2 linked regions of the Nothobranchius furzeri genome follow. The protein of the gene in region 1 binds, or shares a complex with, the protein of each later gene. Links are inferred from orthologs where the notes say so. Each region holds a gene or a part of one and is shown in the gene's direction. Other genes may lie near its edges.

Region 1 (5,027 bases):
GTGTCTGAGATTGCTTCAGGGAGAGAAAAGGTGATCTGAGTGAAAAATTATGTTTTGAATTAAACTTTAGTTTTTATTAGGAAAAACAGCATCAAAACGTTATCTATCGTGTTCTGCCTCACCGTACTCAGGACCCCCTTTAGATCCGGACCCCGGAGGATGTGTTATCCAGAAGACACCTGGGCTGGCAGAGAAGACGAAGATGTGTGGCAGCCCAGTCCCGGGTTGACCTCGGTACACGTTGCTGAAGCGTTCGGCAGATGCGCTTTCTCAAGTTTAAATTAACTCAGAAATCAAAGACTCTGGGACGAGTCTGCGTAAGCTGGTTGCACTTCAGCTATTCTGTCTGGCTTGACAGAAATAGCGTGGGGGGGGGGGGGGGGGCAGGGCTCCTTTCCCCGTGGTGTTCGTTCCACACTTCTTCTCTCTTTCGTTCTCTGAGGCCTGGAGGACAGCAAGACCCCTGCACTGCTGTCTCCCAGGCTACTGATGGCACAGCCTTCTTCAGTAATTTAGGCAGGCTGGATGCCTAAAAGGCTCATTGCTGCCACATCAGCCAACACACTAAGCCAGCAAACCCCACCGCACACAACATGCACATCGACCACCCCCACCCCGTGTGTTATTAATATTAATTTTTATATATTACCAGTCCTGATTTTTTCAATATATTTACTTACAACTGTACCATGTTCAGTGCTTTGGGCTTCCTGACAGGGTTGCGGAAGGCACTTTATAAATAAAGCTTTGATTGATTGATTGAACTGCATTGGTATCGGTTCCTGGTATTGGTTAACTTTCACTGATACCGGTATCGGCCTGCTGCCGGTGCATCCTTAAGGTACATGTATATACACATAGGCATCTAGTGTTGTAACCTTCGACCACTAAAACCATGAATAAAAAATTAAAAAATTTGGGTTCCAAAACTATGCAGCATTCTGCAAGAGACACAGACATGCAATGGAAATCCAGTATTGCACGAGTATTGAACACATAATGAATATTGCAGTGTTATTGTGTAACAGGATAATGCCAGTAAAACTTAAACTAATGAGTTAAAGTTTGACTTGCAGAGAGCCTCAAAGGTAGGAGAAGCCAACTCTTAAAGTTTTTGCTTGACTTTAAAAAAGGCTTAAGTGTCAAAGCCGTGGTTGTTGTGTCAGAGTGGTTTGTGTCATCAAAAAGAGGATCTCTGAGGTTTCATTTGATGTGAGTAGTCCTGCTCGGTTTGTATTTTTTATTACAAATTTGTACTGGAAAAATAAATGAATGAATGATGAACAAATGAATAAATGAACGAATAAATACATTTATGTTTTACAAAGTATTGGTGTTACACTTGGAAATTTCGGTCTTGCCATCACATAAAATAAATCCTAGATGTTTCTTTCAGGAAATTGTGAAGACATGGCTGTGTAATACATCGGCAACCCATCGACAGAAAACAAAAATAAGTTTTAAAAAGGCACGTTGATGGTGTTAAAACAAAAAGTGCATTGAAAGTAGATATTTTATTCTGAAAATCTTTACCCGGAAGTAAAAATGGATTTACCATGGGTGAGCAGTGCACTGAGCACTACAGATTAAAACGGGCTTCCAGATAGTGTTGTGATTTTACAATATTTAAAATAGTAAAGTAGTGTTTTCTTTTGAGTTTATTTTTCATGGAGAAGAAGACTTGTGTTGTGAACACTTTTCTTTCTCATCGAGGCCTTTCATGAAGCTCCTTGTTTTGACTGCAGTGAGAGCGGCTAACTACCCTGACTCTGATTCCAGGTTAGGTCCAGTGTTCTCTCAAACACCACAGCTGATTTTCGTCTTACTCATTTGAAGTGACACGGCCTGGGTGTAAATTGCAAAGATTGCTGCTACATTTAGCTGTCGACGGAAGGCTTAGCTACTTCTGAGTTTTACGCTAATGTTGAAGGTTAGAAGAGCTGGGAGGCTAACTCTAGCTGAGCCTGAATGTTCAGCCTGGATATTTTAAACGTTTGTACAAACGTAATGAACAAGCCTTTAACGTAAAATAAAGTCATAACAAAACTATTTACGAACTGTTTTGGGTAAAGTGAAAACTCGACACTGAAAATTGTCACCTGTCGATGTTAGCAATAGCTAAAGTTGTTCCTGGAACTGACTTTCAGATGTGACCGTTGCTAACCAAGTTTGGTTTTTTTCGTTAGTGTAAGGTTAAAACAGCAGGGCCGAGCTCAAATCGTGGCGGTGGCATCCAGCCACGCAACAGCCACCATAGACATTGGCCTTGTTTGAGATGAGCAGCGCCTCGCCTGGAAAACAGATAGAAGCAGACGGACGCAGCAGCTAGAAGTTGCGTTGATATGTGTCTCCCCCCCGAGATCTGTTTCTTTGGCACTCAGCAGCGAGTTTGAATCATCCACTCGCAAAAAAATGTGTCCTAACCCTTACCCTAACCATAACCCTGAAACAAGCATAAAAATTGTGCTACACATAATATTTATAATATATATATTTATGCAAAACATACATTTTTGGTGCCAGGGTGGTTATGGTTATGGTTAGGGTAAGGGTTAGGGTGAGGGTTATTTCTTGTGTTTGGTTTGTTTCCATTTGCAGCTGGGTGCAAAAGAAGCAGAAATAGAGGGGGGAACACATATCAACGTAACAGCGGCGTAGGTTGACAGTTTTCCCAACATTAAAATTCTGGTGCCTGTTAGCAACTGAAACACGTTCTCACATAATTGTGGATATCACATTGTAGACACGTGCAAATGGAGATATGACTATAATAACAAGTAAAGTTGTCAACTGTAGATTTTTATTGTGCTTATAGGAAATGTGACAAAAGAAAACAATTGACATTTCTCTTTATGGCCTGTATAGTTGTCTTCGTCAGCATACTATGATTTGCGGAATACATATGAGTGGCTTCTGCAAATCTCGTGATTTCTGTCTGTTATGGGATGTGACTATGTTCACCCTGCTAATGGTGTTTATCTGTTCAATTTAACAACATGGTCGTTCAGTGTCAACAAAAGAAACTGATGTTTCTGACTAGATTATGAACAATATTCAGATAAGCTGAGTGTGAAACCTATTTTGTTTTTGTTGTATTCTCTGTTTATGTCCATCCATAGCAGCCCGGTGTGCCCAGTAACAAACTGTCATCTCAGTGAAACTGCAAGAATTCAGCTCAGTTTATATATTTATGAGAAATTAGAGCTTCTCATCATAACTACTACACTCTTCTTCCTGCAGCGCTGGGATTAAAGTATCTTTGAATTGATGTATCACAATGCAAACTATTCAAAACACTAATATAAACAAAATATTTTATTAATATTAATTTTTATGTATTACCAGTCCTGATTCTTAATTTTATCCTGCTTTGTGGATTAAGTTTTTCATTCTGAACAGGTAGTGGGACTTGTCTAATGGAGTTGAAGGAGAAGTAAGGAGAACAAGAGGGAAGAGATGATTCCTCTCTGCGTATCATCAGTTGCTGCTTCAACATTGCTGAATAAAAACTGAAGAGAGAGCCTCATTCAGCAGAGAGTGAAGCTGTTTGTAAAGCACTAGAAATGGCTTTCTTGGACAATCCGGCCATCATTCTAGCCCACATCAGACAGTCCCACGTGACCAGCGATGATACGGGAATGTGTGAGATGGTATTAATAGACCAGGATGTGGATCTGGAGAAGTGCCAGCTCACTCTGGTGCCTGGCAGCAGCTGTGGATCTTCTGGTTCAAACTCTCTCAGTGAAAACAGCAGTGGCATGGTGGACGGTCATACGTGCGAGCTGTCTCAGTCCATGGACATCACCTCCAGCTGGGACTTTGGCATTCGTCGGCGCTCCAACACAGGTGAGCTCGTGTCCAGGCTCTGGCGTGTTTGTAGGTGTACAGTTCCTCAGAGGTTTGGAGGGGTCTAATCTGGACTAATGTGGGTTTGGTTTGTTTTGTTTAAGGAAATCATGTTATCAAAACATGTTGCTGCTGCTACAAGAATCATGATTGTCGATGTGAATTTAATTGATTGTTTTGTGGGATGTGTGGGTGTGAGGCAGGTAGAACCGTGTTTGTGTGTGTGTTCGTGTGCCCTTTGCTTCTTTTCATTTGAGGCTCCAGAACTGAGACTTGACATATCCCCTTATAAAATGTACAACACATTAGCATTACCACTATCATCATGACGTTTCTGATTGTTCAGTATGACATCACAACCTCCCTGTGTTGGTGAAGGCAACTGGACTTACTTGCTTCTTGAAGGCGTTTTGCTTCTTACCAGAGGAGCTTTGTCAATTCTGACTGGACTATGGGAGGGTCAAGCTCATAGGCCAGTGGTACTCATTAGGCGGGCTGGGTCTGTGGTTGTAGTTATAGCCACTGTTCTATGAGCATAGCAGTTGACTTCTATGACCACAGCTACTGTGCTACGGGCAGAGCACCGCACAGCCCCGGTGAACCAGTTTGAAGTACACTAAAGACATTCATTAAACATCAAATATGAAGAAAGTTTCAAATATGAACACATTTTGTAGTCATTGTACTTATAAACTGCCAAAACAATCCTTCTCAGTTAAGTGTTAACCTATCGCAAAACCTTTAAAGTAAAGGAGTCTGTCTGGGCAGTGGGTGCTGTCACAGCAATTCATAGCTATGGCCATTGACTCTTCTCGTAGCTACAGGATAGCAGTCACAGCCATTTGTGGCTACTGGCGCGCCCTCGTGGCTGTGGCTACAATTGGAGCTCGGCCCTACTGCCTGTGTGGCCAACTGCCAAAGGACCCCAACAGACCGTTTTATTAATTTTTTTATGTTTTGAGTTTGTTTTATATTTGAAGTTCAATAAATATTAAGCAATTAATATTGCACACAGTGAGTGTTCAGTTCTTTCACAACCAATGGGCTGCTAAAATGTATTTATGTATATATTAAGATGATTACTAAGGCCAATATATATGTATGTATATTATATGTATGTATGTGTATATATATATATATATATTGGCCTTAATAATCATCTTTAGATATCGGCCAATAAA
Region 2 (4,993 bases), on another chromosome or scaffold:
ACTGATGATCAGCGAACTGCTCTGAAATGGAGGCTTCTTTTGGAAAGGTGCAAAATATATGTGAAGGTACAGTGAGCCTCTGATCTCTCTGTAAGTTTCTTTCAAAACAAGTCACGTGTTTCTAAAATCACACAATGTGTTGTAGATCGTTCCTTCTACTAAGATGAAGAGCGGGATCAGAGGGGCGATCCTGTCCTGCTCGCTGGCGGATCCGGGAGAGGTGAAGCAGCACATGTCGGCTCTGCTGCAGCATGTTTAATCAGCAGATGTTCAGCACATCTGTTCCTGTCAGCCTGGGTCATCACAGTTCTGTTTGGCTCAGATGGTGCTCGGAGGATGTGGGTTTTGTGTATTAACGATAATTTATGTATCCACAATATTTATTTATTTAACTTAATGTATTTATTCATGTTATTAAAGTGTTTGATAAATGTTAAAATAAACATCTGTTTAAAAGCAGTGTGCTGATAATATCCTGTGAGATCATGTTTACTCTTCTGTTGCATTAATGTCAATAATCAGCCAGTGAGTTAAAAAGATTGTTTTCTAATTAAAACCTTAAAACATTTCAATTAGTGGGTTTATTCTACTTTAAACAATTCGTATTCAGTGGAGGATTGAAGCTGCTAATTTTAAGAATAAATAAGCTTATGAAGGCAAAATAGTAGTTATTAAATGTAAAACCACTATATGTAGGTTTATTATGAGACAATAAAAAATTACAGAATATTTATATATGAAATAAAGACAAATTCAATAGACAACAAGAGGGGTAATGTTACTATTAAAGAGTACAAATGGTAGTATAAGCATCAATAATTGCATGAATTAACTTTTGTATTGATTCAGTCATGTGTACTTTTATATGCATTGATTTTAAAACGACTGGTGAAAACATGAGTTCACATATCAGTGGCTTACTTCAGATGTGTGAGCGGGTGTTGCGCTGGGCGTCTGCTTATTAAATATTTTCAGTCATATTTAAAAACAAGTAATCAAATGTTTATTTTATTGCATAACATAACTTAAAAGTCTATGCATCAAATAGGTCAAATAAATATATTTAGATAACATTTTTACCAGCATGAGTTTGTAGTTTCTAATCAAACATGTCAGATATCAAACTTAATTATTAGTTATTGACCAATAAATACTCAACAGCGTCTAATAAACAGACATTCATACATGGGAATTATTTTTCAAAAGGTAAACATTTCTGTTTTAACAGGAAAACCATTTAGATTTGTTTGGATCTCACAAATTTGTAACCTTTTCATATAATTTAAATAAAAGAAAACAAATGCAGCAAAAGTAACAACTACAGAATAGAGAAACAGTTCTTTTATACGGGTTGTTCTTTATCTGAATAAACGTTTAATTTAATTACCGTACTTATAATCTGTCATTTGTTTTGATTAATGGCCACATATGTAATGAATTTTTATGTTTAGCTAGGTCAGCTGGATGAAAAAACGAGAACTGAGTCTAGCTTTCGAGAGTAAGGGATCGCCCTCTTCTGGAGACAAGTGGTTGAAGATAAAACCACTTAAAATTACTACGATTATTGAATTAGCGTAGTTTGTCTAGATGACTGGAAAGCCATATCATCTTTACATATGCAGACTACTTAACTTTTAATTATTTGTGTTGAACACGATAAAATAAACAAGCTGAAGCGGTTAACTGCAGCTCTATAAACATCAGATCGTGCGGCCTCAGGGCGAAACTAAACCCACGGTAGACTTAGAGGTATTTTATTCTTAATAAATGCAATATATTTATTATTAACATGACGTAAATCCAGACAGTTCGTCCTGTTAATTTCTAATTCACCAGTAAGTGGCGGTAATGCACTCATCAACACGGAACGTTTGTAACGGAACTCTGGTTTCTGGAGGACGCTTTTAACCAAGACGCGTTTTTTCCTGAATCGACGGCAGAGGGTAATGTAAACAAAATGCTGTTTATCAAATATCGCTGTTTTACTGTAAGGTGAGAGGTGTTGTCGCAGAAAACGGTTTAATCTCGAAAGTGTTAAACTTCGACCTTGGTTAGCTTGTTGAGCTAAGACTAGCTTCTGTTAAGCTGTGATTTTCATCCCTTTTAGTAAAGGTCAGAATGCTAATTTTCATTATCTTAGTGTAGCATTGACGGTTCTGACAACCAGACTGCTGTGGAAACATGAATGTGAACCAGGGGACGGTGGGCAGCGACCCGGTTATTCTGGCCACGGCGGGATATGACCACACTGTCCGCTTCTGGCAGGCCCACAGTGGGATCTGCACCAGGACGGTCCAGCACCAGGACTCGGTACTTGTGCTTGAGCTAACGATTGTCGTATTTGTTTTTAAAGAAACCCTTTACAGAAACAGAATGCAATAATTAGACATATAATAAAAGTTTATTTTCTTGACATTTTCCCCCAGCAAGTCAATTCCCTGGAGGTGACGCCTGACAGAAGTATGATTGCAGCTGCAGGTTGGTTCATGCATGCATCAATAGAGCTTCACGTTGTGTGTTTCTCTACTTACAGTACCCCATATTTATAAAATATAAATTGTTTTGTAAAGCTTATCCGCCTTCAGAATCTACCTGCGATGGGTTCAGTTGGTTGGACAGGATTTGAAAAGGACCTCATTGGCTCTAGTTGTTGTTGAATGCTTCAGCAAAATACTGAGCGAAGAATGGGACTAGTTTATGGGATTTGGTGGCATTTGCAAAAAACAAAATCAGACTAGGGCCTGCACGACTTTATTTTTTTTAAAGTCGACAGTCAAGTAATGAAAGTCAAGTCGACTTCGACTAGTCGTTGATGACGTCATACGCCGGAAGTGGCGGGGGGGGGGGGGGTCGGTCGATAGATTCGCTGGAGTTTTTGACAATTAAAATTGCGCCCACATTTTCTAAGTTAACACATCTCTTTTAACAACGGTAGTTTCTGCATCCTACTTCAGTCCTCTCCCCCCTCCCCCTGCGCAGCAGCCGCAATCTCACTGATGCGCCTGCAGCCTTTCCTGCTGCTCTAAACATTCAAATAATGATTTCATTTTCTGTTCCTCACTTCTGATTACATTCAGTGGTGTCTGTTTGTTGCAACCACCAGGTACAAAAACTAACTTGTTTTTATTTGACTATTTTTCTGTCCTGTCTTTATTATCTTCCTGCATCTCCTCTCAGTCCTAAAGAAAACCTGCTACCTGGGTTCATATATATTCACCTTATGAGTTACCTTTGAACTGCAGTTCTAAAAGATCTACCGACCGCAAAAACAGCGGAGTGCCGCTGCTCGCCGGCCAACTACAACGGGACCGTTTTTGCTGCGGAGTTCGTGCCAGAGCGGAGTGGAGAGATAGTGGAATCTTGGGGGTGCGTCACCGGAGGACAACAGGTGATGCGCATCGCTCCGCAGCAGCGAAATGCATCAGGCACAAATAACAGACAGAAAACATGAAAGGAAATGAGCCGACATGAACGATCGCGTGTTTAATTTGTTTTTGAGGTGGTGACACCTGATTTGGCGGTGCTCAGGACGCAATGTCTGGAGCGCGTCAACGATCAGAGCTTTGCATGCGCAAACTGGTTAAGATTAGGATGGGGGTGAGGGGAAGGTTAAATTGCAAGAGGGAAAAGGTCACAGTTTGGTTAAATGTCCGTTTTACCGCCGGTGTCAGTACCGCACAGCGCGTCGCCTCCGCCTCGATCCAGACGCGCAGGGGCTCATCACCTGCTGTCTTTTCCGAGGACTGCATCTTGTCAGTCATTATGACGTGACAGCGACTAGTTGATGACAGGCATAAAAAGTCACTACAGAGCCGTGAAGTCGACTAGTCGACTATTTCGTACAACCCCTAAATCAGACAGGTTCTTTAAGAAAAGCAAATAATTGAACCAGTAAAACGTTAAACGCTTTGGATTTATCTCACAGGTAATGTGCATTCTGTTTCAAAGGTTACCAGCACATCCGCATGTACGACCTGAACTCCAACAACCCAAACCCCGTCATCAACTACGACGGCGTCAGCAAGAACATCACTTCTGTGGGCTTCCATGAAGACGGGCGCTGGATGTACACGGGAGGAGAGGACTGCATGGCTCGCATATGGGACCTGAGGTCAGTGTAGCAGGACTTACTGAAAACCCGTGAGCTCCAACTTAAAATAAACCCTGCTTCTTGTTTAGGTCCAGAAACCTGCAGTGTCAGAGGATCTTTCAAGTAAACGCTCCCATTAATTGTGTGTGCCTGCATCCCAACCAGGTTAGCCATGCTGCGTTTGTCTCTGGGATCTTAGTCTTTTAGTTTAAAGTGACAGTGTTTCCAAATGCTCTAACTGTTGTGTGTTTTCCAGGCTGAGTTGATAGTCGGAGACCAGAGTGGAGTGATTCATATTTGGGATCTGAAAACAGACCACAACGAACAGCTGATTCCAGAACCAGAAGTCTCGGTTAACTCTGTTCATATTGACCCAGATGCCAGTTACATGGCAGCAGTCAACAGTTCGGTCAGTCTGCAAATGAGAATATCGGCCATGCTGGGTAATTTAAAAAAGACAAAAGCAAACCGGTTCTTTTTTGTGCTCAACAGGGAAACTGTTATGTGTGGAACCTGGCTGGAGGGATGGGAGATGAAGTGACTCAGCTCATTCCAAAAACAAAGATCCCAGCACACAAACGCTACTCCCTGCGCTGCAAGTTCAGCCCAGATTCCACGTGAGCGGTTTCTCCCCAAACCACGACACATTCAGAAACCCTTTTCTGCGTGAGCTGCAGCTGCATTTTTGTGTTCACCTCTAGACTGCTGGCCACCTGCTCAGCAGATCAGACCTGTAAGATCTGGAGAACGTCCAATTTCTCTCTGATGACAGAGCTGAGCATCAAGAGCAACAATCCAGGAGAGACGTCCCGGGGTTGGATGTGGGACTGTGCGTTCTCTGGAGACTCCCAGTACATCGTTACAGGTCTGTTTGCCGTAGAGGACGGGGTGTAAACGACATTC

Evidence for each region. Proteins that work in one complex are often made in the same cells at the same time.
Region 2: the proteins of mapkap1 (region 1) and mlst8 are in contact, whole or in part, in a cryo-EM structure (PDB 7PE8), measured with the Homo sapiens proteins. The link is inferred for Nothobranchius furzeri from reciprocal best matches to the Homo sapiens genes MAPKAP1 and MLST8. Residues at the interface, in NP_001006618.1 of Homo sapiens: Lys102, Cys103, Lys104, Asn105, Ile106, Gln107, Trp108, Lys109, Arg111, Asn112, Ser113, Lys121, Leu123, Phe124, Glu125, Lys126, Lys127, Ser128, Leu129, Gly137, Lys138, Gln139, Ser140, Ile141, Leu142, Val144, Arg145, Leu146; in NP_001186102.1 of Homo sapiens: Ala29, His30, Pro77, Ile78, Ile79, Ser80, Tyr81, Asp82, Gly83, Arg98, Arg110, Ile111, Trp112, Gln120, Cys121, Gln122, Arg123, Ile124, Asn139, Gln140, Ala141, Leu157, Lys158, Ile203, Glu206, Ser279, Gly280, Asp281, Gln283, Asp322.

The regions. Positions count from the first base shown.
Region 1 is NC_091746.1:36,982,719-36,987,745, forward strand, and holds the start of mapkap1 (target of rapamycin complex 2 subunit MAPKAP1), read left to right. Parts: upstream 1-1,564; 5' UTR 1,565-1,779; intron 1,780-3,399; 5' UTR 3,400-3,563; coding exon 3,564-3,846; intron 3,847-5,027. UniProt on the Homo sapiens protein: Component of the mechanistic target of rapamycin complex 2 (mTORC2), which transduces signals from growth factors to pathways involved in proliferation, cytoskeletal organization, lipogenesis and anabolic output.
Region 2 is NC_091756.1:30,073,508-30,078,500, forward strand, and holds the start of mlst8 (target of rapamycin complex subunit lst8), read left to right. Parts: upstream 1-1,849; 5' UTR 1,850-1,943; intron 1,944-1,949; exon of another isoform or gene 1,950-2,145; 5' UTR 2,146-2,181; coding exon 2,182-2,310; intron 2,311-2,426; coding exon 2,427-2,478; intron 2,479-3,252; exon of another isoform or gene 3,253-3,388; intron 3,389-3,948; coding exon 3,949-4,111; intron 4,112-4,179; coding exon 4,180-4,255; intron 4,256-4,346; coding exon 4,347-4,499; intron 4,500-4,582; coding exon 4,583-4,707; intron 4,708-4,791; coding exon 4,792-4,955; intron 4,956-4,993. Other genes in the region: meiob (meiosis-specific with OB domain-containing protein), read left to right, coding at 1-66, 146-259.